Linked DNA regions of Mus musculus. The protein of the gene in region 1 interacts with the protein of each later gene in a pairwise test. Links are inferred from orthologs where the notes say so. Each region holds a gene or a part of one and is shown in the gene's direction. Other genes may lie near its edges.

What was found.
Region 2: the proteins of Fsd2 (region 1) and Cchcr1 interact in binary tests that used the Homo sapiens proteins (3 or more experiments, as listed by UniProt). The link is inferred for Mus musculus from reciprocal best matches to the Homo sapiens genes FSD2 and CCHCR1.
Region 3: the proteins of Fsd2 (region 1) and Brd8 interact in binary tests that used the Homo sapiens proteins (3 or more experiments, as listed by UniProt). The two-hybrid records come from large-scale screens. The link is inferred for Mus musculus from reciprocal best matches to the Homo sapiens genes FSD2 and BRD8.
Region 4: the proteins of Fsd2 (region 1) and Fam107a interact in binary tests that used the Homo sapiens proteins (3 or more experiments, as listed by UniProt). The two-hybrid records come from large-scale screens. The link is inferred for Mus musculus from reciprocal best matches to the Homo sapiens genes FSD2 and FAM107A.
Region 5: the proteins of Fsd2 (region 1) and Fmr1 interact in binary tests that used the Homo sapiens proteins (3 or more experiments, as listed by UniProt). The link is inferred for Mus musculus from reciprocal best matches to the Homo sapiens genes FSD2 and FMR1.
Region 6: the proteins of Fsd2 (region 1) and Spatc1l interact in binary tests that used the Homo sapiens proteins (3 or more experiments, as listed by UniProt). The two-hybrid records come from large-scale screens. The link is inferred for Mus musculus from reciprocal best matches to the Homo sapiens genes FSD2 and SPATC1L.
Region 7: the proteins of Fsd2 (region 1) and Esd interact in binary tests that used the Homo sapiens proteins (3 or more experiments, as listed by UniProt). The two-hybrid records come from large-scale screens. The link is inferred for Mus musculus from reciprocal best matches to the Homo sapiens genes FSD2 and ESD.

Annotation. Positions count from the first base shown.
Region 1 is NC_000073.6:81,549,766-81,553,585, reverse strand, and holds part of Fsd2 (fibronectin type III and SPRY domain-containing protein 2), read left to right. Parts: intron 1-392; coding exon 393-623; intron 624-1,666; coding exon 1,667-1,689; intron 1,690-3,560; coding exon 3,561-3,682; intron 3,683-3,820.
Region 2 is NC_000083.6:35,515,644-35,520,085, forward strand, and holds the start of Cchcr1 (coiled-coil alpha-helical rod protein 1), read left to right. Parts: upstream 1-1,609; 5' UTR 1,610-2,098; coding exon 2,099-2,296; exon of another isoform or gene 2,297-2,321; intron 2,322-2,507; exon of another isoform or gene 2,508-2,573; coding exon 2,574-2,640; intron 2,641-2,735; coding exon 2,736-2,949; intron 2,950-3,498; exon of another isoform or gene 3,499-4,442. Other genes in the region: Tcf19 (transcription factor 19-like protein), read right to left, coding at 235-472. UniProt on the Homo sapiens protein: May be a regulator of keratinocyte proliferation or differentiation.
Region 3 is NC_000084.6:34,611,106-34,614,925, reverse strand, and holds part of Brd8 (bromodomain-containing protein 8), read left to right. Parts: intron 1-128; coding exon 129-178; intron 179-355; coding exon 356-478; intron 479-1,629; coding exon 1,630-1,710; intron 1,711-1,824; coding exon 1,825-1,889; intron 1,890-1,895; exon of another isoform or gene 1,896-3,173; intron 3,174-3,435; exon of another isoform or gene 3,436-3,550; intron 3,551-3,657; coding exon 3,658-3,794; intron 3,795-3,820. UniProt on the Homo sapiens protein: May act as a coactivator during transcriptional activation by hormone-activated nuclear receptors (NR). Isoform 2 stimulates transcriptional activation by AR/DHTR, ESR1/NR3A1, RXRA/NR2B1 and THRB/ERBA2.
Region 4 is NC_000080.6:8,299,469-8,303,288, reverse strand, and holds part of Fam107a (actin-associated protein FAM107A), read left to right. Parts: intron 1-1,752; exon of another isoform or gene 1,753-1,936; intron 1,937-2,055; coding exon of another isoform or gene 2,056-2,060; coding exon 2,061-2,230; intron 2,231-3,622; coding exon 3,623-3,779; intron 3,780-3,820. UniProt on the Homo sapiens protein: Stress-inducible actin-binding protein that plays a role in synaptic and cognitive functions by modulating actin filamentous (F-actin) dynamics. Mediates polymerization of globular actin to F-actin. Also binds to, stabilizes and bundles F-actin.
Region 5 is NC_000086.7:68,702,406-68,706,225, forward strand, and holds part of Fmr1 (synaptic functional regulator FMR1), read left to right. Parts: intron 1-1,257; coding exon 1,258-1,367; intron 1,368-2,843; coding exon 2,844-2,975; intron 2,976-3,455; coding exon 3,456-3,518; intron 3,519-3,820.
Region 6 is NC_000076.6:76,560,856-76,565,113, forward strand, and holds the start of Spatc1l (speriolin-like protein), read left to right. Parts: upstream 1-1,416; 5' UTR 1,417-1,490; coding exon of another isoform or gene 1,491-1,494; 5' UTR 1,495-1,510; coding exon 1,511-1,712; intron 1,713-2,992; coding exon 2,993-3,340; intron 3,341-3,909; exon of another isoform or gene 3,910-3,950; intron 3,951-4,258.
Region 7 is NC_000080.6:74,730,839-74,735,292, forward strand, and holds the start of Esd (S-formylglutathione hydrolase), read left to right. Parts: upstream 1-1,458; 5' UTR 1,459-1,550; exon of another isoform or gene 1,551-1,651; coding exon of another isoform or gene 1,652-1,683; intron 1,684-4,454.

The DNA of each region.
Region 1 (3,820 bases):
ATAGAAAAGTGCGTGAGAGATGCATGCTTGCAATCCCAGTGCCATGAGGCAGAGACAGGAGCATCTCTGGGGCTTGCTGGCCAGCCAGCCTTCCTTTATCTGGCATGCTTCATGCCAGCGAGAGACCCTGTGGATGGTACCTCTGAGGTTGTCCCCTGGCTTCTACATGCACAGACATGTATGTGCACATACATGTTCATATGCATTAGTTAGTTAATTAATTAGTGATTGTGCCTGGGGACCTAAGAAGGAGTCCTCAGCATTCACTGCAGCACACTTCTGAGAGACAGAGTAATGTGACAAGATGAACAGGTCAGGGTTTCATGTCCCCGGTGACTCTGGCCAACCTATCCCATCCACTGAAATGATGGTTGAGGTCCGCTGTCTTGCAGGAGAATTTTGGAAGACAGGAACAAAACTTTGAGTGCCATTACAATGGGATCTTGGAAACCCTCGCTCAAAAGTATGAAGAAAAAATTCAAGCTCTGGGGGAGAAAAAGAGAGAGAAACTGGAAGCCTTATACGGACAACTGGTCAGCTGTGGAGAGAACCTCGATGCCTGCAGGGAGCTGATGGAAACCGTAGAGGAGATGTGTCATGAGGAAAAGGTGGAGTTCTTAAAGGTCCGTGACGAATCAGGAAAGAAAGCCATGAAACCATGAGATGAGATTCCAGGTCTAGCCTCGGGTGGGGGTGGGCTAGCCTACCCTCTCTCCTGGAGCGCTGAGTTGACTATCTGTGGTTCATGGTGGGAGGCTGTCCCTTAATCTCTCCTCGTCACTTCGTTGGTGGCCAGACAGGCAGACACCACTGGTCCTTTCCTCGCCAGTCCCCAGGGAGTTCCAAGCTTTGTCCCTCAGACCCTTGGTTGTTGACTGTCCCTCGGTCATGGAGTGGAGCAAGGGCAGTGTCCCGAGAGTTTCCTAGCTGCCTCTTGGCTCTCTCAGGGAAAGCTGGCCCACATCAGTAAGCTACTTTAAATTGTTCTGTGCCAAGGGTGGCAGTTATATAATCTTGCTTTATAACTTCATACATATGCCCCAAATCCATTTCTTAATTATATTTAAGTCATATGAAATCTGACCCAAACCCCATATAGCAGAGTGAGGGGAATTTCCACCTCAGTGATCTCACAGGGTCCCATGATCCCATGGGGCAGATGTGGTTGGTTTCACAAAGGGTTGAGGAGGGGTCTTCAGAATCGATGCTGAGTTTGACCTCATCACAGTCCAACCCTCAGCTGCTCCTCAAAGCCCAGTCATCCATCCTTCCCACTGTGATCATGGTGAGAGATCCACACATAAAGATAGAGAGCAATGTGGCAGGAGCCACGAGAAACACCAGTGCTCAACCTCTTGAGCCCGTGGCCCCAGGGTGCCATTGTATCTCACATTCAGAACATAGAAAAAGGCGCATTACTTATAATAATGAGAACATGCAGACAGCCACGGTGTCCTACAGCAGAGGAACTGTTAAGGAGTCAGAGGTCCAAAAGACCCTGTGTGGCGTGGAAGGTGCAGGGAGAATGGAAGGAAATGCACAAGTATGGTAGATTCATTAGGGTGACTTCCCCCTTTCCCTAATTTCCAGTTAAAAATGTTTACATTATTATATTGTTGGGAAAACTATGTCCTAAATCGGTCTACTGTTTTCTCTCTCTTTTCAGGATGCAGTGGCTATGACTGACAGGTAATATTTCCGTCCTGACCTCGTTTCTTTTCTCCTTTCTTTTCGCCTCTAGACTCAGTCTCACTGGGTTATGGCTTCCCTTTTCAGCTTCGGTGACCCTATAAGTAAAACAGTGCTGGCTTTGGAATGGCGGTGTGGTGTCAGTAGGCCCCTTTAGTGTTGACACTTAGGATCACTGGGCTGGAAGGGAACACGGTTGGTGAAGTCCATCCAGCAAGCCTGTGCTCAGGTCCCCCTCACACACACAAGAACTTTGTTTTATTGGGAGAGATGGGGACTGGAACATGCCCTCCTCAGCCCTTGGTCATGTTGAGGCAGAAAGCATGTTCGTTTTAAAGTCAGATACGGTGGAGCGTAAATCCTGCTACCATAGTGATTCCAAGCCCAAAGCCCCACCTTTCCTATTTACAAACAGGTGCTTCTGTGGGAACATACGACAGGGTCTGTGAAGCCACATGGGGAACTTAAGACTATGAGGGCCTAAGTACATATGTTTTGGCAAAAAATGGGCCTGGATTTCAAATCTGCCTTTGCTACTTAGAAGCCTTATGACTGCCCGGGAGCAATCACAGCTAAAGCAGTGGTTCTCAACCTGTGGGTCACAACCATCAGAAAACACGTATTTCCGACGGTCTTAGGAACCGAGACACCGCTCAGTAGCAAAATTACAGTTATGAAATAGCAATGAAAATAATTTTATAGTTGTGGGTCACCACTGCATGCAGAACTGTACTAAAGGGTGGCAAGCATTTGGAAGATTGAGAACCGCTGATGGAGAGCCTCCAGAGCCCCACCGCGAGGGAGGGCCCGTGACACTGTGGAGTGTAAGTCTTCAGGGTAGAAGCCCCAAGAACACGTGGGCGTGGAGAAAGCATGGGATGGACTCTACCCGCCCTTAGGCTCAGCCCTTCCTCTTCCCCTGGGAAGGCTGAGACAATGATAGATGTCTTGGGTAGGAAGTGTTCTCTAAAAGGCTCATGGGTTGGAGGATATGTTCTCAAGCAGAGATCTGGAGAAAGGATTGGACGGGTAGAGCTCTGGTCTTATGAATGAGAATCCTTTGAAGGATATGTCTTGTCCCTGGACCCTTTCTTCTTATCTCTCTCTCTGCTTTCCTGGCTGCCCCAAAATGAGAAACTTTCCTCCATTTTGTGCTCCCTGCCACCACCATGCTTCCACCACAGGGCCAAGAACAATAGAGGCAGCTGATCGTGGACTGAAACTGTGAGCAGCTACTAAGTAGACATTCCCTCCCTTTCAGCTGCTTGTCTCAGGGATTTGCCAAAGCAACAAAACTTTAAAACTGTAACCTCCAGGCCCACCAAATCAGATACCAGAATCCACAAACGTGAGGAAATACAAGTTTAACAAAGAGGCCTCTTCATTCCTTCCTAATGACCCAGCACTACAAATGTACCCTAAGAAGAAAGCCCCTCCATCTTTGTATGAATGTGTGCTTTTAAAAAACATGTATGAGTATTTTGCCTGCATGTATGTCTGTGCACCCTGTGTGTACTGCTGTCCACAGAGGTCAGAAGAGGGTGTCACATCCCCTGGAATTGGAGACACAGAGGGTTGTGAACTGCCGTGTGGGTGCTAGGAATTGAACCTAAGACCTCTGGAAGAGCACCCAGTGCTGCCTTTTGTTTTGTTTTGATTTTTTTTCAAGACATGGTTTCTCTGTGTAGCCTTGGCTGTCCTCAAATTCACTCTGTAGAACAGGCTGGCCTCGAACTCAGAAATCCACCTGTCTCTGCCTCCCAAGTGCTGGGATTAAAGGTGTGCGCCACCACTGCCCGGCTTATCCAGTGCTCCTAGCTGCTGATCCAACTCCCCAACCAACCGCTGGGCGTGTCTTTTTATACCAACAGACTGGGGAAATTCCTGAAAACCAAAACTGATGTGGAGCTCTCTGCACAACCTGAGTTTGAAGACCAGACCTTGGACTTCTCTGATGTGGAGCAGCTGATGGACGCCATCAATACCATTCCAGGTTTGCCTCTGACCTGTGCATCTTCACAGCAGCTCAGATGAGATAGAGAGACAGAGAGACAAAGACACACACAGAGAGAAACAGAAACAGAGAGAGAGAGAGAGAGAGAGAGAGAGAGAGAGAGAGAGAGATTTGTGA
Region 2 (4,442 bases), on another chromosome or scaffold:
ATCTGAGCTTAATACTAGAATGTAGAATTTGATGACAGCTTGCACACCCCTCTTAGGTCCGGTGTAGGCTAAAGCAGACAAGCAGGTTTAGTCCTGTGTGGAGCTGACAGAAGTGTGAGCAGACAAGACGGAACCAAGACTGCTCACCAGACTAGGACTCTGGGAGGCAGGTAGCAGGGTCCCAGAGGCTCCTCTTACTCATGCCTGTCTGGGGCTCTTCTGCTCATTGCTTACCTTGGCTGCTGTGATCCTCCAGGCTGACCCTCCAGTCGTCCCCTTGGAGTTCAGCATGCAATTCCGCATGGACTCCAGAGATGAGGCCGGGCTCCTGCTGGGGCCGCAGGGCCACATCACACAGGTCGGCCCTGCAGCCCAATCGATAGGTGCAGCCAGACTTGGACGGGGGGTGGAAGGTGTAGAGGTCACCGCCCCTGCCGCCCCCTATACGCAGCAGCTGGAAACAGGGCAGCATGGGGGGTGCCCCCTCTGCACCACTTTGCCCACCTCAGAAGTCCATTCCCTCTCCTACTCCTGGGTCATGCACCGTGGGCTTCAATTCAGTTCTCTCTGATGTCAACAGCTAAGTATTGTGCCTAATGCCAACTTAAGCAGTGCAGATTCAGAGCGCCAGAGGCCTGGATATGCACCAAGACAGAGGCTGTCAAGATGAGGTTTAAAAAGCAATTCCAGTAAAGTCCTGATGCGATGCAAAACCAGGAAGACGTCTTGTGGCACCTCAGTGAAGCCGGATCCTCAGGCGGCTCAACATCCGGGAGCCTCCGACAATCTGTGCAAGGCAAAGCTAGTTTAAACCGCAACTGGGAACAGGCAGAGGGGGTGAAGGGGCCCTGGTACACAAACGTGCGTGTGACACGGGTCTTCTCCCTAAGTGTAACCTGGAGTCAGGGAATTTATGGTTAAACTTTCTAATCCAAGTAGCGCACCCCTTCCATCTTTCCCCCCCACCCCCGCTCTTCGGATCAGTTCCCCTAAGGGAAGTGAATCCACTGTCACCCGCAAAGGGCGGCGCAGACGGGTCCCTAATTCTGTAACAAAGTGGATCTCACCCTTTCTTTTTTTCGCTCGCGGGGTAAACTGAGGAAGGGATTCCGTACCCTGCGTCCCGCGCTCCCGCCGAGGTTTGACAGCCAAGGAAGCCGCCCCGAAGGCGGGGCTTGGGTGAAGGCGCGCGCGCGCGCTGCGCAGACTCCTCCTTCGGAATTCCCGGGTCCGACTTCGCGCCCGCGAGCCCGCCCCCCCGCCGGCTGCTTCTGATTGGCCATCTGAGTTGCACCCATTTGCTCTATTGGCCGATGCGCAGGGGGGAGTTGCTCATCTCCCGCTCTCCGCCACTTCTGATTGGCCGGCACGTTTTCCCGGGTTCCCGGGGAGAGGAGGGGCCGTCAGGGCGCGGAGAAAGTTTGGGGCGTCAGGGTGCCTGCTTGCACCTTTCTTCTTCCTATTTCCGGTAGGGAGAAATGGAGCTGTAGAGCAGCCCGCCGCCCCGCGCATGCGTGATCTGGGTGTGGCGTCTAGACTGGGTGCTAGGTGTAAGGGGCGTGGCAAGAGGGCGGATCTCGCGCTGGGTAAGGGGCGTTCGGGGAGAGTCAGTTGGGGGCGGGAAGAGTCTGAGAGGGGGCGCAAGGGGGGCGGAGGGGATCCACAGGGCAAGAGGGGTGCAGGAGCTGGGTCAAAGGATAGATGAGGAGGTCAAGACAGCCTCAGAGTTCAGGGTCCTGACGGGGATTAGCCCGGGGTGTGTGCGGGAGAGAAGTGGGGGAGACAGGACAGGGAGCGACCAAGATAATTCCATCGAAAAAGACTCATACTAGGTCTAGGAAGAGAAACGGGTAGGAATCGCGGGGGTTGAGTGAAAAAAAAAAAAACCCAAAAACTTGAATTCTGATGGAAGTGGGGGAAAGAAGATGCTGTAGGACTCCGAAGAGAGATGCATCGGGAATGGAAGCCGAGGGGATAGAGAGCAACTGAGGCCCGTTACAGAGAGGCCCAGATGAGTTGCCAGGAAGCTGGCTTCCCAGCAACGGGCTCCCGGCTGCTCCGATTCCTCAGGGATCCTAGGGAAGACGCTTAACCCCACATGTGGCCTCATTCTTCCCGGACCAGGCCTTGGGCTAACTCTTTAATAGGAAATGACTCAGAAATCCTGGCTCGATGGTGCCTAGATGGGCTTCCCAACGGCCCTACCATTCCATGGCAAGGACTGTGGAGAGTGGGCTCCTTATACTGTGTCCAGAGAGTCCTGAGCTGCAGGGACCGTAGACACTTAAGGAGGAAGGTAAAGGCACACCACCCACATTCCTGTAAGTAGAAGGAAGCCTCGTCTCAGTAAATTTACCTTAGGGTTGTTGCCTGGTTCATTCTATCAGGAGCGTAGTTGGGACAAGCAAGTGGTTTGGTTACCGTGTGCCTTAGGGAAGTAGGAAAAGAGAAGCGTACAGCCCGATAGACCTGTCAGTAACTTAAGGATTATGACTTTGTTTTTATAGGGCTTTTTCTTTGGAAGGTGGCCTGAAAAATTGAATTGAAGTATCCTTGTTTCTCCTATTGTCCAGGGGAACATAGGTGACTGGAGACAAGAGCTACAGGATTCATATAACAGGAAGATGTTGCCACCGTCAGGTCAGTGAGGCTAGTCAAGGAGACCAGGATCATCTCCCTCTTCCCTCTCCCCCTCTCTCAGAATCTGACAGTCTTTATTCTTGTGACCCCCTCAGGTTTTGCTGGGCTGGTTCCTCCCTCCCACTTCCAAGCTCGGCCCCTTCCAACTCTGCCAAGAATGGCCCCGACCTGGGCTTCAGACGTTCCCTTGGTCCAATCTCCGGCCAGCCAAGATGTCTTAGAGAGACGGCTAGATGCTCAGAGGTCGACAGTGACCACGTGGGGACAGGATTTCTGTGGAGATGGGCAGGGGCTAGGGCGGAGAGGCAGGTAGGGATCTGCCAATCACCTCTTCCTCAGACTGACACATGGTCCTTCATACACGCATGCCTTCATTTCAGCCCCTGGTTCTATAACTTGTGTGGTTTTTCTATAGGCCATTGTTGGCCCCTACGACGCATAGACCACATGCGTTGGGGTTAGTGAGAATAGATGTTTGGACTTAAATTCTCATTACATAAGGAATGTAAATGTCTTAAGGGAGGGGATAAGTTCTGCAAAAGCTGTTTTAAAGCAAAATGACGTGCAGCTTAGACATGCTGACCCAGTTCTCCAGAGGCATACTGGCTCCTTTTGGAGTAGTTAAGCAGGCCTTTACAGGAATGTGCAACTGGAGCTGGCTATGCTCTGTGAATGTGGTTTTATTTGTTTTTTTTTTTTTGTTTTTTGTTGGTTTTTTGTTTGTTTGTTTTTTCAAGACATGGTGTCTCTGTATAACCCTGGCTGTCCTGGAACTCGCTCTGTAGACCAGGCTGGTCTCGAACTCAGAAATCTGCCTGCCTCTGCCTCCCGAGTACTGGGATTAAAGGTGTGCGCCACCACGCCTGGTGTCAATGTGTGTTTTAAGACTATTAAAAAAAATTTTTTTTAAGGTTTATTTAGTTTTATTTATAGGAGTACATTGTACTCCTATACACACCGGAAGAGGGTATCAGATCCTATTACAGATGGTTGTGAGACACCGTGTGGTTGCTAGGAATTGAACTCAGGACCTTTGGAAGAGCAGTCAGAGCTCTTACCTGCTGAGCCATCTCTCCAGCCCCTAAAGAACTCTTAACCTCTGCTCCAACTCTCCAGCCCTAAGAATTTTATTTTTGAGCTTAGTATGGTCTGCCTTTAATCCCAGCACTAGAGAGTCAAAGGTAGGCAGATCCCTGAGTTCAAGGCCCCAACCCTGGTCTAGAGATTGAGTTTCAGGACAGTTAGGGCTGCATAGAGAAAAACTTGTCTGGAAAAAACAACAACAAAGACTTTATTTATGTGTGTATGATTGTGTGTGAGCATTCATACTTGGAGGCCAAAAGAGGGTGAAGGATCCTCTGTAGTTGGAGTGACAGGCAGCTGTCAGCCTTTGAATGTGGGGGGCTGGGAACTGAACTCAGGTTCTTTGCAAGATCAGCAAGCGCTCTTAGCACCCCGAGCCGGCTCTCCAGCCCCTGTGGACATTCGGCTCTGTGTGAATGAGCATTCTTACTTCTGTTTCGTCTGTGTCTTTCCCCCAGTGTCCTGGGGTGTCATTCTGTCAGAGGGGCATGTTAGGAGACAGATTGTAAGGAACTGTGGCAAGTCATTGCTAGCCTCCAGTTAAAGGAAATCCTGCCATTCTCAGGGACAGAGATGCCTCTGGAGCCTCCACATAACCAATTCAGATATGCAGACGCCTCAGACTCCCTGTGCAATGTACCAAACACTCACGGAAAAAGCCCGCACCAAAAGAGCAGGGTGTAACAGTGAGTGCCTGTAATCCCAGTTACGCCTGGGAA
Region 3 (3,820 bases), on another chromosome or scaffold:
ACCACGGCCAGCTAACGACACAATCGTGAATAGATATCCTCACTGAGACTTATTACTCTTTGTTGAAACTCTGAAAGTTTGTTTCCGAGCTTGCTTATCACATTTTTCTTTCTTTCTTTCTTTTATAGCATTGTGCTTCTCAGTATTCTGAGCTCTTAGAGACTACTGAGACTCCAAAGTGAGTATAAACCCAGGTACATCTGTTTGGTCAGGAAGGGTTCACTGTGGAAATATATCTTACTGGGTGAGAAAAGTATAGCAGATGTTATGATTACATGGTAGAAAGGCTCAAAGAATACAAGTGGAAACAAATGTCCTCTTACTTAAATTTGGATTTATTTTTTGTTTTCCACAGACGGAAACGGGGTGAAAAAGGAGAAGTGGTAGAAACTGTTGAAGATGTTATTGTTCGCAAACTGACTGCTGAGAGAGTTGAAGAACTGAAGAAAGTCATAAAGGAGACACAGGAGAGATACAGGTAGTTATCAGGTGATTTGGGAGGGGCATTGGACAGACATAAAAAGCTGACTTCTGGTACATACAAGATTAAGTTGGTGTTTATGAGTGACAGGGTCTCACTGTATAGTCCTGGGCTGGCCTGAACTCTGTCTGTAAACTAAGCTAGAGTCCATCACCCTCTGGTGGCCCTTTTAACCCTTTTAATCCTAGCACCTAGGAGGCAGAGGCAGGCAGATCTCTTAAGTTCAAAACTAGCCTGGTCCTCAGTGAGTTCTAGGACAGTCAGGGCTACACAGAGAAACTTGTTTTTAAAATACAAAAAAGAGGGCTGGAGAGATGGCTCAGTGGTTAAGAGCACCAACTGCTCTTCCAAAGGCCCTGAGTTCAAATCCCAGCAACCACATGGTGGCTCACAACCATCTGTAATGATAACTGAATCTCTTCTGGGGTGTCTGAAGACAGCTACAGTGTACTTACATATAATAAATAAATCCTAAAAAAAAACAAAGAAGGGGAGGAGGAGAAGAGAGGGAGGGAGGGAGGAAAGGAAAGAAGGGAGGGAAGGAGGGAAGGTGGGGAATGTAGTTAAAATGCTGGATGCATGCATGGTATGTCTACAGCAGCTACTCAGGAGTTTGAAATGAAACGGTAACTTGAGACCACAAGTAAAAAGCTCTAAATGTGGTTTATAGTAGGTGGTGATTAGACAACTCAGTGGCAGAGATGGAAGGGACCCAGGTGGTAGGAGATGGCCTGTGACCTCATGTGCTGTGAAATGTGTCCACCTGTACTTGTACACACACACACACACACACACACACACACACACACACACACTAATAAAGTAATAAAAGATTATGGTAGCGCTGGGTGTGGTGGCGCACACCTTTAATCCCAGCACTTGGGGGGCAGAGGCAGGTGGATTTCTGAGTTCGAGGCCTGGTCTACACAGTGAGTTCCAGGACACCCAGGGCTACACAGAGAACCCTGTCTTGAAAAACAAACAAACAAAAAAAAAGAGTATGGTAGCTCATGCCTGTAATCCCAACATTTGGCAGACCAAAACAGAAAATTTTCATTAAGTTTGAGCCCAACTAGAGGAGGGCCCTGTCTCAATAACCCAGAAACTTACTGTGAAGAGGACTGATGTCTGCCTCTTTGTTTCTATAGGCGTCTGAAAAGAGATGCAGAACTAATCCAAGCCGGGCACATGGACAGCAGACTGGATGAGCTCTGCAATGACATTGCAATGTAGGTTCCATTTGTGCTCTGCCAGTGTGTCAGAATACTTTTTTATGAGTGTGTTGTGAACTATGGAGAGGAGCTCGAGCTGGCTGATGTAGCTCAATTCTTTTCCTTTTTTAGGAAAAAGAAATTGGAAGAGGAAGAGGCTGAAGTAAAAAGGAAGGCCACCGATGCTGCGTACCAGGGTGAGCTGAGTTTAGTGCTTCTGTTAGCATTGACCATGTGGTTCTGTGTGCTAATGACAGCGTTAGAGGAGTGTGATGACCACTGCTCTATGGAGAGTTAGCTGTCACTTGTTTTCTAATGTACAGTCCACTGGTTTTGTTGACTTGCAGCGTTTATCATGTTCCTCCCCTTCTTTTTTTCCCCTCAAAACATTATTCTTTTTGTTTTTCTGCTAAGGATTGAGCTGAGGGCCTTGTACATGCCTGCTAAAATTAGGCCTCCAGGTAGCAATAAATAAACAAGCTTTCACAAGGATCGGCGCCTACCCCTATCAGAGTTCTTTCATCTTTTGTATTTCCCATTTACTAATTTTTGTCATGTCCCATGATTTCCCAGTCGTAGACCATGGATCAAGCCCAGTGTCTTAGGCTCCTGACTGATCTGCTAAACTGTAAGGCAAGGCAGTTACAACTTTTCCTCTTCTCTCTAAAGTTTGAGTGATTTTGAATCTCTGGAGCAAACTGGCAGTGAACAGGAAAAATGTAAAGATTTATTGTGTGCGTATGCATAGCAGTCTCATAAAATAAGGTGTCTGGGTAAACCCTTGCTTAGCATGCATGAGTCTTAGTCTCTAGCATAACAAACAACTACAGAGAAAGAATCATTCCTGTTATCTCTTTTTCTAACAGAATAAACCATCCTTTATGTTCAAGAAGAAATACTTCGAAAAATGAGGTCTTTCGTACTCCCTAGGTCTCCAATTTACTTGTAGGACTCACAAGCTTGATAATGGCAGACTGAACATAATTTAAGGTTTTATTTATTTATTTTTATTCTCTTCATATATTTATTTTTGAGTACTCCCACCCCTACCCCCAAGATAGGGTTTCTCTGTGTAGCCCTGGCAGTCACTTTGTAGACCAGGCTGATCTCCAACTCAAATGAGCCTCTGCATTTCTTGTGCTGGGATTAAAGGTGTGCCCCACCACCACCCAGGTTTTTTTTTTCCTTCAATTTTTTTTTTTTTTTTTTACATTTGTTTGTTTGGAAGTGGAGGCACAGATACGTGTCACGTGGTGGGTCTGTATAGACCAAAGAACAAGCTGTGAAAGTCCATTCTCTCCTCTCACCAGATGGGTCCCAGAAATTGACCTTAGATCATCACAGCAAGAACCATCTTATTAACCTTAATTAAGGCTCTAGAGCTCAGAGGCCAATAAAAAAGGTCAGCCGTGAAGTGAGCCAAGTGCGGAGGTGTACGTCGTTATTGCTAGCGTTCGGAAGGCTGAGGCAGGAAGATCTCTGTGAGTCAGTCAAGTTTGCATAGTGGGTTTCAGGCCAGCTAGGACTACATTGTGAGAGACACCACCCACACCCACACCCACCCCTTCCTATAATCCCAGAGTTTGGAATTGGAATCCAAAGGAGGATGGGATGAAGAGTTAATTGCAAATGATCAAGAGTTCATCTTGGGTGGTGAGGTAGGAGGGAAACATGGGTGTTAGCAACTGTAAGACAGACTACATGGTGAGAATCAGTGAGGCCTTCTCCTCTTTCTAAAAGCAGATTCTTAAGTTGCTGCAGAAGATGTTGAGATGTAAACCATGTGCTACAGCAAGGACCTTTGAAGTAGTTAAGTAGTTAATTTGTTTAATGTGAGAATCGCCCTGAGTTTGAAAAACTAAACTAAAAAGTAATAATAAAATTTCTAATCTCTGCTTCAGGGTATAACAGTGGCTGGTTTCACTTATTTAACCCTGAAGATTTCGTCTGTTGCTTCTGTTGTAGCGCGACAAGCAGTGAAAACGCCTCCTCGAAGGTTACCGACTGTGATGGTCCGCTCTCCTGTAGACTCTGCCTCCCCAGGAGGTGATTACCCACTTGGAGACTTGACTCCAACCACTATGGAAGAGGCTACCTCTGGGGTACGTGTATCTGTATTTATCGAAAT
Region 4 (3,820 bases), on another chromosome or scaffold:
CCTCCATTGCCACATGGAATCCAACTTAGACCTCTGGTTCCCCAAGATCAAAACCTCAAGTTTTATCACCAATTACCTATCACAAATTACCAACCAACATTACTGAGTGTTCACTGAATATTACATCAAATACTATCTATGTTCACCACACAGAAAAGGCTCAAACCTACCAGCCAGGCCAGCTGACATGCACTGGTTAGTCCTGCTAGCACTACGGAGGTGGACAGTGTCAGAAAGGGGGTTAGGGTGCTTCCGAAAGCCCAGCCTAGAAAGGAGGCAGAATCTGCCCTAACATTTTCTGTAATTACTCTAAACTGCTAATCACTAATCGCTAATGGCTAACAGCCAGGCAGCGACTGTCGTTGTTGTCGTCGTCGCCCCACCCCCCCACCCCGTGACTTGTTTTTATAGAACTCTCCTCCCTCTGCTCCCCTCCCCCATTTCATTTCCTCTCCTCTCCTCCCCTCCTCTCCTGTCCCCTTCCCTCCGTCTAAGCATTTCAAGTATCAGGAGCTGTCTGGGGCAGAGAAGCCTTTCTGCCTAAATCTAAAGTACATTGACAAATATCCAGGTACTTGGTAGAAGTGGGACACATGAGTGTGGCAGGCAAGACAGTAGCCGTGTGTTTGTTACAGGGGCACAGCAGCATTTCACATACTATTCTCTGGTGTGGAGAATAGGGAACCGCACCTCTGCCATGACATCAGAACTATGGCTAAGGAGGTAGACAATAAGAGATGATGCTTTCTTTTATCATAGCATTTATCCAAATTGTCTTTAACTGCTACAGATTGTACACGCGCATGCACACACACACACACACACACACACACACACACAATTTACACCTTTTCCTTTCCTTACACAAGTTTGTTGAAAAGCAGAAACTTAAACGTAGTCCTTTTTGCTGTTTGGTATTTTTTCTCTTCTGTCAGTGTCTTGTCTTAGTAAGAGTTCCCAGCACACAGCAACATGCCAGGCTTTTCCCTGGGTGCTGGGAATCTAACTCAGGTCATTATGTTCACATTACTATTTCTGTGATGAGACACCATGATCGAAAGCAACTTGGGGAGGATAAGGTTTATTTGCCTGGCACTTCCACATCACTATGTATCATCAAATGAAATCAGAACAAAAACTCAAACCAAGCTGGAACCTGGAGGCAGGAGCCAATGCAGAGGCCATGGACAGGTGTGGCATGCTAGCTTACTCTTCATGGCTTGCTCACAGGATGCTTTCTTATAGCACCCAAGACCACCAGACCAGGGACAGCACCACCAATAATGGGCACCCTCCACATTGGCACTTATTACGAAAATGCCCTACAGGCCTGCCTCCAGCCTGTTCTCATGGAGGCATTTTCTTCAATTGAGGTCCCCCCTTAGATGACTCTAGCTGCTTATGTCATGTTGATGCGAAACTATCAAGCACAGCCAGTGACTATGTAGTTATATGTACTCGTGTGTGTGTGTGTGTGTGTGTGTGTGTGTGTGTGTGTGTGTGTGTGTGTGTGCATAGCCACATGGAGGCCAGAGGTCATCCTTGGATGCTATTCCCCAAGCACTGTCTACCTTGCATCTTGGAACAGGATCTCCCACTAGGACATGAGGTTCACTGATTAGGATAACAGAGTGGCTGGTGAGCTCCCCATGTCTCTACCTCATGGTGCTAGAGTTCCCAGCACACAGCAACATGCCAGGCTTTTCCCTGGGTGCTGGGAATCTAACTCAGGTCATTATGTTCACATTGCAGACTCTTTGCTGATTGAAACATCTCCCCAGTCCCGTGACAGCTACTGTGAGCCTTGGTCTCTATTCACTTCTGAACCCCACCTCCCAGAGAACATCATCTCCAATAATCACAACAAGCTTTTTCCCCTTGGTGGAGTGACCGTTTCCCACAATAGAGAGGCAGAAAGCAAGACTTGCATTATCAGGTAGCTAACCCAAATTGCTCAGAAGCCACTGTCTGTGTGAGAAAGCCCCCACTAAGCTGCACCTCAAAGGGTGGGCTGGAATGTGGGACGTGAAGTAACGTTACTTCCCATTACTACAGCCTCCATGTACTCAGAGATCCAGAGGGAGCGGGCTGACATCGAGGGACTCATGGCCAGACCAGAGTACAGAGAGTGGAACTCAGAGCTCATCAAACCCAAGAAGCTGCTGAACCCTGTGAAGGCTTCTCGGAGCCATCAGGAGCTGCACCGTGAGCTGCTTATGAACCACAAAAGGTAGGGTGGCATCCAGCTGGCTGGCTTAGAAAAATGCTTCTTAGAGGGGCTGACCTAGCCATTGCCTGGAACCCCAACAGGGTCACCAGAAGAAACTGTGTGAACCTGAAAGCCCTACCCATTTGCTGTGTGCTTAGATGCCCTACTGTGTGCAGGGCACCATGCCCACACCTAAGATACAAAAGACGGAGACCCAGTTTCTGCCCTCCCCAGGGGAAAAGAAAGTTGCTGGAAGCTTTAAGTGAATGTGGGACCCCAGAGGGGCTACTGGGATAGGGGGACTATCTATATGACATCATGGAAGAGAGGATATCTAGAAGGCCTAAAGCAGGGGCAAGAGCCAACCCTGCTGAGAGATGGGTCGTGTTGGCAGAGAAAACTGGAGAGAGAGCACATAAATATTGTAGAGGGTTCAGGTAGTGATGGCTCTTTCTCAGCCACACCCTCTGTTGGGGGAGAGCATGGCAGTGAAACACAAGAGTCGGGGGTGGGGGGAATGGGCTATGACACATCTGTGATCAGCAATCACAGGATGTCAAGTGTAGGAGAGGGTGGCTGAGGGGCCCTTGAGAGGCTAGAGGCTAGAGGCCGAAGCTTATGGTACCTTCATGGCGCCCTCTGCCGGCTGGTTGTTGTATTGGAGCTGGACGTGATTTCCATTCTAAGTCATGCGACAGATACCGCTGGCACATGGAGCTGATTTTGGGTTTGTTTTCTACTAATATTATAATATTGTCATGTTCTCAGTTGTTTTTGCGATAATCATTCATTTCAGTATCAAAAGTACCACCACGATGGAAAACAGCTTCAGGCAAACTGAAATATTTGCAATATAAATAAATTCTATTGAAAATTACATATACAGTATGAAATATTCATATATTCGTGTACCTTAGTCTACCAGGAAAGGGTAAGCAAAATGAGTGGGATTCATATGCAAATGGGAAAATGTGAATGCTAGAAACACTTTAAAGTTCATTACATGTGACTGGTAATTAAGGAAACATGAAAACCAGGCATTGTTTTTTGTCTCCTAGACTTAAAAGAGTTGGCTTGTAAAATGGGGGTAAATATATATTTTTGTAAGGAAATTAAATCCCATGAGATTTTAAGAGAGCGAAGGCCAGCATTTCCGCCATCAGAAGCTCTAGTAAAATATCCAGCAACCATGTGATACCTGGTCTCTGTCTGCAGCCGGGTCTGAAATTCTCACTCACCTGTTGTACTGCACCTGCCCTGCTGTGTTGTGGGAGGGGGGCCTCTTTGCCTTTCTATATAGCACGGGGCAGTGAGATCGCCCCCTTCCGGTGTTTCCCAAACGCTCTAAGAGATAATACAGGGACTGTGTCCCAGGCTAGGAAAGAGTCTCCTCACTGTTCTCCTTACCCGCAGGGGCTTGGGTATGGACAGCAAGCCTGAGCTGCAGCGAGTTCTAGAGCACCGTCGCAGGAATCAGCTGATCAAAAAGAAGGAGGAGGAGCTAGAGGCCAAGCGGATGCAGTGCCCCTTCAAGCAGGAGCTGCTGAGGCGGCAGCAGAGACTGAACCAGGTGGGTGGGAAGCGTCCAGCTTCCGTCTGAGCCTCCTCCAA
Region 5 (3,820 bases), on another chromosome or scaffold:
ATTTTACAGAAAAAAAAAAAAAAACAAACTCTGAGAATACTCCAGGTAGGGATTTTTGTACGTTCTTCATTTCATTTGAAGAAGAATAGAACAGACATAATGAGATTTTTAGATTAGAAATCCTGGTTTAGTGGCATGAGTTTTGTTTTCTACCACTGACCAAAGAGCTCAAGGTGGAAGAGTATGAAAGCCACACACAGCAATAATGTCAAAACTGTGGCTCTGATTATAAGAACTATGAGTCCTTCTGCAAGACCTTTTGCTAGTTTGTTATTTAAAGTAGCTAGGAAGCAACTTCTCTCTTTTCATCAATTTGCCTGCGCTGAGGAGGCAAAATGAGCATATAGAAGCATTTCACCCATGGCTTATCTAAGTGCTTAAGTCCCCCTAGAATCTGGTTTGCCTCATGTGTAGGTTTCTAGAATTAGTAGTGCTTAATTTGTAAATTCTTGCTTTACACTCATGTATGATAGTGGCTATGAAAGCAGCCATGTCCTAGTTTTATATATAATTGAATTTTGCACAGTGGGGCAAACAATTGCTATTTAGAACTACTACTAGATTTTTCTGAATTTCAACAGATGTTACTAAAGAATACGTATAAGCCTTTTCATGGTAGTTTTGGAGTTATCTGAAAGTGTGCTTTACCTATGAATATGTATGCTACTCTACATTGTGACCAATGCATAGAACTAATATTCTGTTATTAACATTGGCTTGAAGAATTTTTGTTCCTTTTAGATATTTAGATAGCTTTCTAAGCTCCTGAAACTTAAGAGCATATTTTCAAATGTGTCATACATAATTCTAAAAATAGTTCCTATGTATATATGAGGAAATGTGAATCAAAGCTAGATGAGAATTGAAATTGTCAAGTAAGCAAATACATTTATTATCCTTCTTTTCCTTAATTCCTTTTGTAGAGCTTTACAGAGTGCTAAATACCACAGTACCAGTTAGTTTAAAGTATACGGTCTTATGTGAGATAAGGGGTTCTCTTTGAGTTACCTTTAAATTTTCAGAATTACCCAATCAGTTCACAAGTATTAATCAGCTGTAGTATCTGACCAAATGAGTTTAAAAATGACCTAATCAACGAGAATAATTTATAATTAAACTATTTTTTTAAAAAGCTTCTGTTTTGAATCTTATAATCCAGTATGTATATGTATTTGAATGTGTAAGATAGTTTATAGTGGAGTGTGCTTGTACGATTTGAGTGATGTCCTCGAGTCAAACATGAATTATTTATTTTAGGCAAAGTAATAGGAAAAAATGGAAAGCTGATTCAAGAGATCGTGGACAAGTCAGGAGTTGTGAGGGTGAGGATTGAGGCTGAAAATGAGAAAAGTGTCCCACAAGAAGAGGTATGTAATAGTGCTTATTTTTCTGGTTTTGTCTAAGAGAAAGAGTTTTGTTTGTCTTGTTTTATTTTTTTAATGTATTAATACAGAGGCTCCTGTATTACATGCATATAATATTTTTTTTCTTTTTGTGGTACTCAGAATCAAATCCAGGACTTTGATAATTGTTCTGACTATTGGACATGCTTAATACTATAGATACTAGACTATCTGTTTTGGTTTGGCTTGGTTTTTGTTTTTTGAAGACAGAATTCCTCAGTGTAGCCTTGGCTATCCTGAAACTCACTCTTAGACCAGGCTGACCTTGAACTCAGAGTTCTGCCTGCCTCTGCTTTACAAGTTCTGGGACTAAAAGTGTGCACCACCACCCAGTGACTATGTTTTCTAATGCTGGACTTTAGATAAGTAAATTTATCCTGTATTTGTCTTCATTTTGTGATCTTATAATGGGTAGTCATGAGTTTGCTATTATAAGGTGTATATCACTGGTTCAGCCATTAATGAATGACAAAAAGCGTGCATAGACAGCCTTTATAAATGCTTTTGATTGAGTGTTAATGTGGTAAAGTAAGTTCATTCTGTGTGTGCTTTTTCTGCACATGATCACTTCCCCCAACATGACTTTGATAACTCTCAGTCCTATCTACCTGGACATATGCTTATTGGTGTAACCTTGTAAGTATTTGTATGGAAAGTGGAAAGGGACAGTATAACCCTTGATGCAGTTGTACTCTCAAAATGCTGTCCACGCACAAGCTTATAATTTTCACATTAATTAGCTGTCTTTTGTGAAAGATTATTTTAATTGATGTTAAATCAATTTAGTGTTTTTTTTAAGGTTTAATTCAATAAAGTTTGTGTGTGTGAGTGTTTGGAGGGGTTGGGAGAAGAGCTCAGTTGTGAGCTGCTAAGAACCAAACTTGGTTCCACTGTAAGAACAGTACATGCTCTTAACCTCTACAAAAAGCCATCTCTCTCTAATCCCTGATTTGGTTTTTAATTGCATAATTTTTATGCTCTATGGGAGCTGGTGAGATGGTTCAGTGGTTAAGAGTGCCGACTGCTCTTCTAAAGGTCCTGAATTCAAAATCCCAGCAACCACATGGTGGCTCACAACCATCCGTAACAGAATCTGATGCCCTCTTCTGGAGTGTCTGAAGACAGCTATAGTGTACTTATACATAATTAATAAATAAATAGTGTACTTATACATAATTAATAAATAAACAAACAAACCTTTTAAAAAAATTTATGCCCTGTAATTTTATATGTCAAAACACTTTATAGTAATCTATAGTCTTAACCATCATTGTTAATGGGAAAAGATGAACTTCAAACATTGTTCCTAATATGTTGAATTATCAGATTTCTTTATAAATAATTAAGTGGATATGCTTAACAAAAAATATCACTGACATGGTAATAGAACCAAGTTCTCATAAAATTGGAATTTTTTGTGTTTTATGTTTTTTTATCAAGGAAATTATGCCACCAAGTTCCCTACCTTCCAATAATTCAAGGGTTGGACCTAACTCCTCTGAAGAAAAGAAACATTTAGATACAAAGGAAAACACCCATTTTTCTCAACCTAACAGTACAAAAGTCCAGAGGGTAAGAATTTGTCACCTCTAACCACACTAAAAGTAATTTCTTTGACGCAGATTCCACATTTGGTATTTGGGCTGTTTTTTCTCGTTAGATTTGTAGGCTACTCTTACTCTATATTTTCACATAGGTTTGGTACCATATGAGATTACAAAACAAAGTAATACATATTTTTTCAATTTATTCACAGTGACAAATCTTAAGCTATAAACCTAATGGGGTCACTTTTTTTCTGTTGAGGGTGGACTTTTTTTTTTTTCATACTATAACTCCTTAAATTTTGCAGGTGTTGTAACTCAAAGTGTACCTTCTATTAGATGTGTTAGTTACTTCTTAAAGCCATATTTTAGAAACTGATTTTCACTATTTGAACTGACCTATTTAGAAATGCATTTAGAAGTCCTGCAGTGAAAGTCCTGCGTTCAGGCTTCTGTGTATCGTTCATTATAGTTAATCACATCACTTGCATTCCTTATACTGCTTTAGGTGTTAGTGGTTTCATCAATTGTAGCAGGGGGACCCCAGAAACCTGAACCCAAGGCTTGGCAGGTAGGAAACTATTCCTTGAAAAATACATTTTAAGTTGATATTTTAATGTTTATTCCCCTTGTTAAGAAAGACTACAAATGAGCCTCATGGTTGGGGGCTGGTGGAGGAGTATTTGTGGGTATTTGGATCCACAGCCCTAGGCTAAATCTCAAACATCTTCATTCCACTTAGAAGTTCTTCCCTTACATGTCCAGTGTCATTTTCTACCAGTCTTCCCACTGTGTCTTATAGGAAGCTTGATTCCTTCTGAAGTTCTTGGAATTCTCTAAAATTGAACATACTTTTTGCTGCTGCTTTATGTG
Region 6 (4,258 bases), on another chromosome or scaffold:
AGAAATCTGAAAAAAAAAATCACACAAACACACACACACACACACACACAAAGCTAATGGAAGGGAAAGCCATTCACGCACCCTGATCCCAGAAATTGGGAAAGGGGAATACCTGACTGACTTCTGACCAATGCTTTTATGTGCTCCACTCGCTGTCTTTGAAGGCTACTGAAAGCTCTTAGTGCCTCTCATTCAGGTTCCCATTGCCCTTGTTTGAGGAGAGAGGCCAATTGACCCAGCATTTGATATTTAGAATCTCTTTTCTCCACAAAATCTAAGCTTGCTGCACTTGAAATGTTATACAAACATGGCTGCCTGGACTGAATATAAAGATTTGTACCCAGGAACCATGCCAATGTCTGCACAGGGTGATCCAGACATTGATGGTGAGCCCCAGACATCGGCAGAAGAGGACCTGATAGAAGCTGGATTGGGATTTTCTGGTTGCATCCTTTCTCATCAAGGAGGACCAGGCAGCAACCCTTGGTGTCTCTGAGCAGCCAGTACAGGAAGACCTGATTCAGAGACAGAGCTCATCCACTTAGTGCAGTAGGAAGAGCAGGGTGCCCAGGTGAGTTCCCAGACAGCTACATCAGTGGACTACCATAGTTCCGCCCATCTCATGATCACTGGTTCATAGGGTCTCATCCCTACTTAATCTAGTGTTTGGCATGGAATCAGACACCCAGTGCTCAGTGTGTGCGGTGGACACAAATGTGCTGCCTGACGTCTTTTCATGAGGGAAGTGTGACGTGATCAGTAAGTGGCCTCCATTTCCAGCCCCGTAAGGGTTCCTCTAGAATCTCCCTAAGACTGGGGGGCAATCATAGGGTTTTGCCCTAGACTGATCATCTCTTCTTCTATTATGGGCCTTTCCTTCCTTAAGTATAGGTTCCAAGAGTGAGACTCAAAAACAGCATCCCATATCTCTTGTAGGATCTGGGAGTCCCATTGGCCTATGGTCCTGTGGAGCCAGGTAATGAGAGATTAACCTCATAGGCATATGTCATGGGAAGAGTGGCCATTGAGATGACAGCCAAGTCGCCACTGTGGCCTATGGGCTTCACATGGTATGGACACATGCCCCCCCCCCCCCCCAATGCCCTGTTCTGGCTGCTGCTGGAAGGTACTAGAAAGGTCTGTCCTCCCTGTCTAGGCTGCCTTCTAGAAGGTCACTCTCCTTCCTTCACAGTCCAAAGGCGAGCCGGTGTTATGAACACTCAATCCCTCTGTGGTTTGAGGCGCATGCCTACATACTTGTATTCATCTGTGTATCACCAGGTCCAGGTTGGTTGAGAGATGTCTGGGAGCAGAGGAGCAGAGGAGCAGATGAGGAAGAAGGACGTTCCTTGGCTTTGTGGCGCCGCCTCTTTAAGGGTAACGACATCACAAGGCTGTGGAAGGCCAGGCAGCGTGGAACTCCGTGGCCTTAGGCTGTTTCTGTGGGGTCTTCGGGCTCTGTATTTCCATCTCCATGGGGCCACAGGCCCATGTGTGAGTACCTGACACCATGGCAGAGGGTAGCGAACTGATGAGCAGGCTCATGAGTGAGAACGCAGACCTGAAGAAGCAGGTGCGCCTCCTGAAGGAGAACCAGATGCTGAAGAGACTGCTCAGTGAGAGTTGCCAGGAGAGCTGTGGTCGAGGGAGCCGGGACCTACTCTATCCCAAGGTCCCTACCTACCCTGAGGCCTGCTCCCCAGGGAATGGAGGTGAGGTGCAGGCTTAGCCAGGACAGGGCAGCTCTACCTGGGAAGGGTTGTAGGGTTTAGATTGGCTGGTGGCTATGCTGGTTGGTAATGTCTCAAAGCACAGCCACCTGGCTTAAAACAGGCAGGGTGTGATTCCAGGGCTCCAGGCTGCTGGTGTCCTTTCAGTGCTCTTACCCACTGAGCCATCCTGCCAGCCCTAGTCTTGCACTTTCACATGTAAAAGGCAGTTTCCCCAGAACCATTTGTTGACGAGATTCTCTTTTCTCAGAATTTTTAGGTTTTGGTTTATGGGCCCACTTTGGTTTTCTGCTTCTAACCGAACTGTTGGACACCGGTTCCAAGAAAACATTATTCATGTTTCTAGCTGGTGTACAACCAGCTGTACGTAAAGCTCTTTGGTGCTTTGAAGGGTATATAGATAGACAGGCCTTCAAGGACTGATGTGTCTTACAAGGGCAGACAGGGAGGTGTAGCATCTTGCGGGTAAGGTGTTATGCATTGTTCTTATAAAACACTTTTGGGAGAGAGCAGTGGTTCCTGCCTATGTATATTTTAAGGTATGATTTTTGATAGGTTCTAAAAAACACTTTCTCAAGTATGCTTGCTTTCTTGCTAAGGGAACCAGCTTTTAGGAAGTAGATAGGGACTTGCAAAGTCAAAGAATGGCTAGATAAGTTACATTTGATGGGGACCGAGAAAAAACCACGGCAGTCCAAGATGCACACACCGGAGCTTAGGAGGGGCTCCATCAAGAGCAGGGAAGCACACCCAGTTGCTGACCGCAACAAATAGTTTTTTTTTTTTCAAGTACTGAGCTTTGAGCTCAGGGTCTAGCCCATCTAAGCAAGCGTCCTACCCCTGAGCCACCACACTGAGCCATCGCTTTGCAGTCATGATGAAATGAGGTGGAAAGTTGTTGGCTGGGCGCATGGGCCAGCGGACAGAGGGACCAGGTGATTCACGGGTGGCTGGATATGGGTAAATCCGAAAAGATTTACATTGCGAAAAAACTTAGCAGGACGGCGCCGTGTGTGATGAGTTTGAAAAGCATGTGGACATCACTCTAGTGAGTGTGGTTGTGAGCCCGCGGAGGAGTACATGTTTACTGTTGAGTTCAGGAGGCAGGGAGGCACTCCCTCTATCTCCAGATGAAATGCCAGGGGGGAGGGGGAGGGGCACCGCTCTGGTTGGGAGCCGTACTTAGCACCCACAACCTTGCTTCCAGATGTGTCTATGAGTACCACCAGTCTGACTTATGGCCCTTTTCTGCTCCATCCCAGGTCCAGATTTTGGAAGGTTTGCCGGTGTCCCTGACACGCCCTCCCAGCTACCGACATCCTCTCTGGAGGACCTACTATGCTCCCACGCCCCACTCTCCAGTGAGGACGAAGCCTCCCCAGGCTGTGCAACCACCTCTCAGATGCCTTTCAAGTCCTTCCTCAGCCCTTCAGAACTACACTCGCGGATTGCAGACAGGAAGCTGTCCCCGCTCCTGAGTCCCTTGCAGGACTCCCTGGCTGACAAAACACTGCTTGAGCCCAGGGAAATCTCGAGACCTAAGAAGGTGTGCTTCTCGGAGAGTAACCTCCCCACTGGGGATAGGAGCAGGAGGACCTATTACCTCAATGGTATGGTACACACAGGTAGCCCTGGGTGGGGAAACCACGTTTTAGAGACTTGGCTCTGGCTAGCTTCTCCAGTGGTGAAGAGTGGGAGGAGCGCTAGGGTGGGCCTGGGTCCAGGATTAGGTCTGTCTTGGCCTTTTGAAAAAAATGTGGAGATGCTCATCCTTGATATTTAGCTGAAAAAACATTTTTTCATGCGGTTCCATATCTAAGTCCTTCTGGGTTTATGTTCCTTAGGTATTGCCTCCCAGTCTGAGAGTTTCCCACTGTTTACTGTTTGGGCGCAGGGTGAAACTTGAATATAGTCGTGTAGAATTTCCTGATAGCTTTCTTTTACAGTTTGTGCTTTTGGGGATCTACTTTAGGAAGTCTCTGTGAAGGCCAAGGTTATAGATGCTCTTTAATCTTTTAGAGGTCTCGTAGCTTTAGGTTTTGGATTTAGGTCTCTGACTAGGACCAAGTGTTTGGGGTTTTGTCTGTGGTGTGAGGTTTGCTTGTAGAAGCTATTCCAGCGCCAACTCTTGAAAAGATGGCTCCTCCTCATGGCATGGCCTCAACGTCTTCCTGCCTGTGGAGCCGGTCTCAAATCCAGTCAGAAAGTGGTTGGTTACTCCTATAAAATTCATGCTGTTATGGTATCAGAATAATAATATTCTGTTTGGCAGGTCAGCATTATAGCATTTCCACTGCTAGGGAGGAGGGGTGATAGCTCCCCTAGCAATTTACATAGCATTGTCTACTGCTATAAAAGCTGCTAGCATTGGGGCAGCTTCCAGCTTGGTTCTCAATTCCTGGGCTTTTAGTACCCACAACTTTGCAAAATGACTAAGAAAGAAACACACTGAAAGGCGTAAAACTTTCAATAGCCAAGAACAGTTATAATCGTGGATTAGAGGACTTAGTATTGTTTAATGGTCGATA
Region 7 (4,454 bases), on another chromosome or scaffold:
CATGCTGACTGAGAGAAACTGTCATTATGATTATTACCACTAATATGGATACAAGAACTCTTTGGAGTTAGTTTGTACCTTAAAGAGATCAAGATACTAATTGAACACCCTTTAAACTTTGTTCAAGCATTTAACAATTAGAAAGAATTTGCAGACTTGGGTAATCTTTCATAACTTCAGTTGTGAAACTCAGTTTGAAAAAAAATTACCTTTCCAATAAATTACATTTAAAAGTAGTTAGCTTGGGAGTGATAGAGTATACCTTTAATCCCAGCATTCGGGAGACAAAGGTAGGGGGATTTCTGAGTTCAAGACCAGCCGGTCTACGTAGTAAGTTCCAGGCTAGCCAGAATTACATTTAAGACTCTGTTAATAATAATAATTTTAAGAATTTACCTTAATGCTTTCTCAAAATAACATTCTTTGGTTAACCATTAAACAGGTACACAAATGCCTGCCACATGACACAGAAAAGCAACGTTCTGCGTGGCAGCTCATCCACACAGGTTATATTCCACTGAGCTCAGCTCACCTACTTGTTTTTTAGCCTGACTAGCCACATAACTTGCAAGTCCCCCAGCAAAACTAAGATGGAGAGCCTATACACACAGAGCAGGCACTGGGTCCTTCTGACAGTTTGTTGCAAATGCACAGGCTGCGTGATTATTAAACCAGACAATCTTACAGGTTATACATAGTATCCACAACCTAGCAGCCTAAATACTGGTTTTAAAAACTGCTTGTAATATTTAATTTTCTGAACAAAGTACACTTGCTGGTTAAATTGGATGAAGTTGAGAACTGCTGTAAATGATTAACCAGAAACCCTGACACAGTTCAACTTTTATTGAGGGAAGAGGGGAGAAAAAAATGGACATTGAAAAGAGTTAATGAATGTGTCCTCCTCCTAGAAGCTCCAAATCAAGCAGGTGCAGAGTAGATGTGGAATGAGGGTGGAAATGTGAAATTTCTGCTCAGGTTTCCAAACAACTGCAGAGTTCCACACAAGCCCTTTCCACAAGTTAACTGGGAGAGGCCAGCTGGTGTACTAGAGCCTCATTCTCTTGTTGCCTTCTGGGAGCATCTGAAGCAAGTTACAGAGGTCTAGAGGTCCAGTGTCATGACAGACACACTTTTGGCTCATCCTGACACACCGCGGAAACAGGAACCCGGCGAAAAGTCTCTTGGGAATGGCCTTGTAGGGGAGGGTCGGGGTCCGGGAACTCCTAGTCTCCCTTGGGGTGTATCCATAGGGCAGGTCTGCTAGGAGAGTGCGCGCCCTGGGGGCGGTGTCTCAGAATGGGAGCAGCTCAGGAGGGAGGGCTGGGGAGGAGAGGGGCAGAGAAAGGGAGGGACTTGAGGGCGGGGCCGTGAGAGGGGACCAGAGTAAGCGGCCAAAGGAGGGGACGGGCCCAAAGGGAGGAGCCTCTACGTGGGACCCGCCCCGGAGGCCGGGGCGGGACATATGGTGTGGGCGGAGCCAGAGGCAGTGCTCGGGGCGGAAGCCCCAACCTTCTTCCCTGGCGAGTTAGAAGCTGCCCCTCACCGAGGTAAGATGGAATGGGTCGTGAGTCCCAAGCATTCTCTACTACCTGGTTTTCGGGCGGCTGTGCGCGGACGCCTAGACCTGCGGTGGTGATAGCAGCGGGGAATGGTGACGATCTCTGCACCCTTCCCGCCGCGGTAAGGCAGGCCTCGTCCCGCAGGGCCTGCTAATCGCTTTAACTTCGGGGAGCTGGAAACAATGTGTGACCTGGGGCGCCAGGCTCGCTGGGATGCTCGGGTTGGTGGAGTGCCCGCCGGGACGGCATTTCGCCGAGCATTCCCGCGCGGAGCCCGGGGAACGCTTTCCCTCCGGGATCCCAGCCTGGGCTGCAGGCGACGCCACTAGGGCCCTGAGGTGTCTTGGGCAGCGCGCTCGAGGCCGTGCCCAGTGGTAAAAATTCAGGTGTAGGCGGCCGTCCATAGGTGATTTGTGGTTGAGTCGTCAGAAAGATGGCACTTATGTTATTTAAAATTAATAAAATTCACCATTTTTTATGTAGGCCATATTAGGCCTAATGGTCAGCAATCTATAGGCATTCTTTGAAAAGTTAAAGGAATGAAACCCCAGGCTTCTATAACAGTATTGTTTGTAGTGGGACATACTAGTAAGAAAGTAGACTAAGGTTTTAATTAGCTCTTAGCTATATATAATTGCTATGATGATACTGAGATTTTGTTTTATTTTGTTTTTGAGACATTGTAGTTCTGACTGTCCTGGAACTCACTTTGTATACCAGGCTGTTCTCGAACGCCTGGTTCTCCAGGGATTTAGGGCGCGTGCAACGAAACTTTTAAAGTTCAACTTTTGAGACATTTCAGATATAAGATAGGCTGTACAGGCAAGGATCTAAGTTTAATTTTAAATGTGTTGGGTTTTGCTATAGCGATGCGAAATAAATGCATAGCAGTTTGGCACTAATGCTTAAAATTTGAATATGAAAAGACAGATTTAGATTTTTCAGCCCAGAAGATGTGTTTGAAATTTAGGGACTATGAGTTAGGGGGAAAATATGTGACAAGAACTGGGAAAGGGGCGTGGGGTGGGGGAGTTGGGAACTAAGAATGAAATAGAGGGGGGGGGAGGCAGGACAGGCTTTGAGTAAAGAAATGGTGGTCAGGACTGTGAATTTATGCCTTCCCCAAAGCAGCAGAATATGCTTATTCATTGTGAAGCAGCAAAAGTGTGTTGCCATTGTCAAAGGTCTGTGACTAAGCCCTGACTAAGTCTGGAGGCAACTGTATCTTAACAAACAACATAGGTCCTGAGAAACTTAAGAAAGTTCATTCTTGGGTGAGCATACCAGAATCAGCTTATGCAACCTAGATGGTACTTTGGAGTGTGAACATGTACAAGGTATAGAATATGGTAGGCAGTTTTAACACGATGGCAACTACTGGTGTGTCTACACACAAAGGAGACAGAGTAAATTATGGCATAAAAGATTTTCAACAAATAGAATGCCAGTAAAAGAATGCTTTTTGTAACTAGAGCTTACAGGTCCAAAGCAAGTCAGTAAGTCAATTTTGCTATGAGTTAGGGAATGTAAGTGACCTGGACGAAGCTACACTAAACCTATTTTAAAATATCTTATTCATACTTTAACTTTTTTTTTATTTTATAAACTGTAGTTTTTAGAGCCATTTAACATTTATTATTACAGTGATGCAAACTTTTTTTTAAATTTTATCAGCTTTTTTCTGGTTTTAGTTTTCACAAACTTTCTATAGAAACGAAGACACAATCCCACAATCTTCAGGGTTGATTCACAGGACCACATCCCATGACTGTCTTCTGCATCCACATTTCATCCCATGGAAGTGCTTTAGGGTACATATATGGAGCTATCCTCCCCGGCAGACGCAGTTCCTTCTCCATAACGCCTTCTGTAGTGAGCACCTGCAGGAGGCTCCACACACACACACACACACACACACACACACACACACACCCGCAGACAGTAGCTTACTTATTTCTGTCATCTTGAGTTTGATTTATAAGTGACTGGTGCACATGAGCATTCCTTTCCATTGATAAAAAATCCATGTGATATTTGGTCTCAAGTTTTTAAAGTATTTAAGGAGCTCGTTGAGCTTTGCAAATGGCTCTGTGAAGTCTGTCACTTGGTGTTGTCTTCCCTCTGCAGCTACGTGTGTCCTGGCTGACAGGAACTTTTAGCTCTACTATACTCTTACAGGATCACTGTCATAGATGTAGGATGTCCTTGACTAAACCCTCCCTGTGCTGACTGTCTGTATTAACATAGACCAGACTTGTCATATTCATATGACAATTATCCATGTGACAGAGAAGCAGTATTTGCAATAACATATGAAACATTAAAAGTTAATATTTTGTGTGTTACAAATCAAGCTATCTATGAACGGAGGGTACTTTATCAATGTGTAACTACCCTAATCCTATGGAATTGGCTCATCTGGCTTATTTTTTTTTTTTTTTTTCGAAAGAGAAAAGGAAACAGAAAGTTCCATGATCCTCTAGGCGGCCAGACCACAAAGCAGCTAAGATCTCTGATGGTAGCCCTACCAAAGCTCAAATCACAATTCTCCACTGTACAACTAAGTATCCAGATTAAGAGACAGGACTGAGATTACTCTTAATTGTGCAAAAACATTTTCCAAAATTCACTTTTCAAACTAGCGTTACACTTCTAAGAGTAGCCTACAATAGAATCCAGCCAGCACCCAGTGAGTGACATCACTGATAAGACCACCAACGTGGTAAGGCGTCTTCCTGGTGTCTGTTACTTTAGTTTATATTTTGTATTATATAGAAAGTGCTTCAAGGAGTGGGAAGGAAATCTTTCCATGCCAGGTTTACATCAGAATCAGTTCAATTTTTCTTTATTACATAATAGGTATTTATGATAAAAAATGAATTTCCAGCTTTT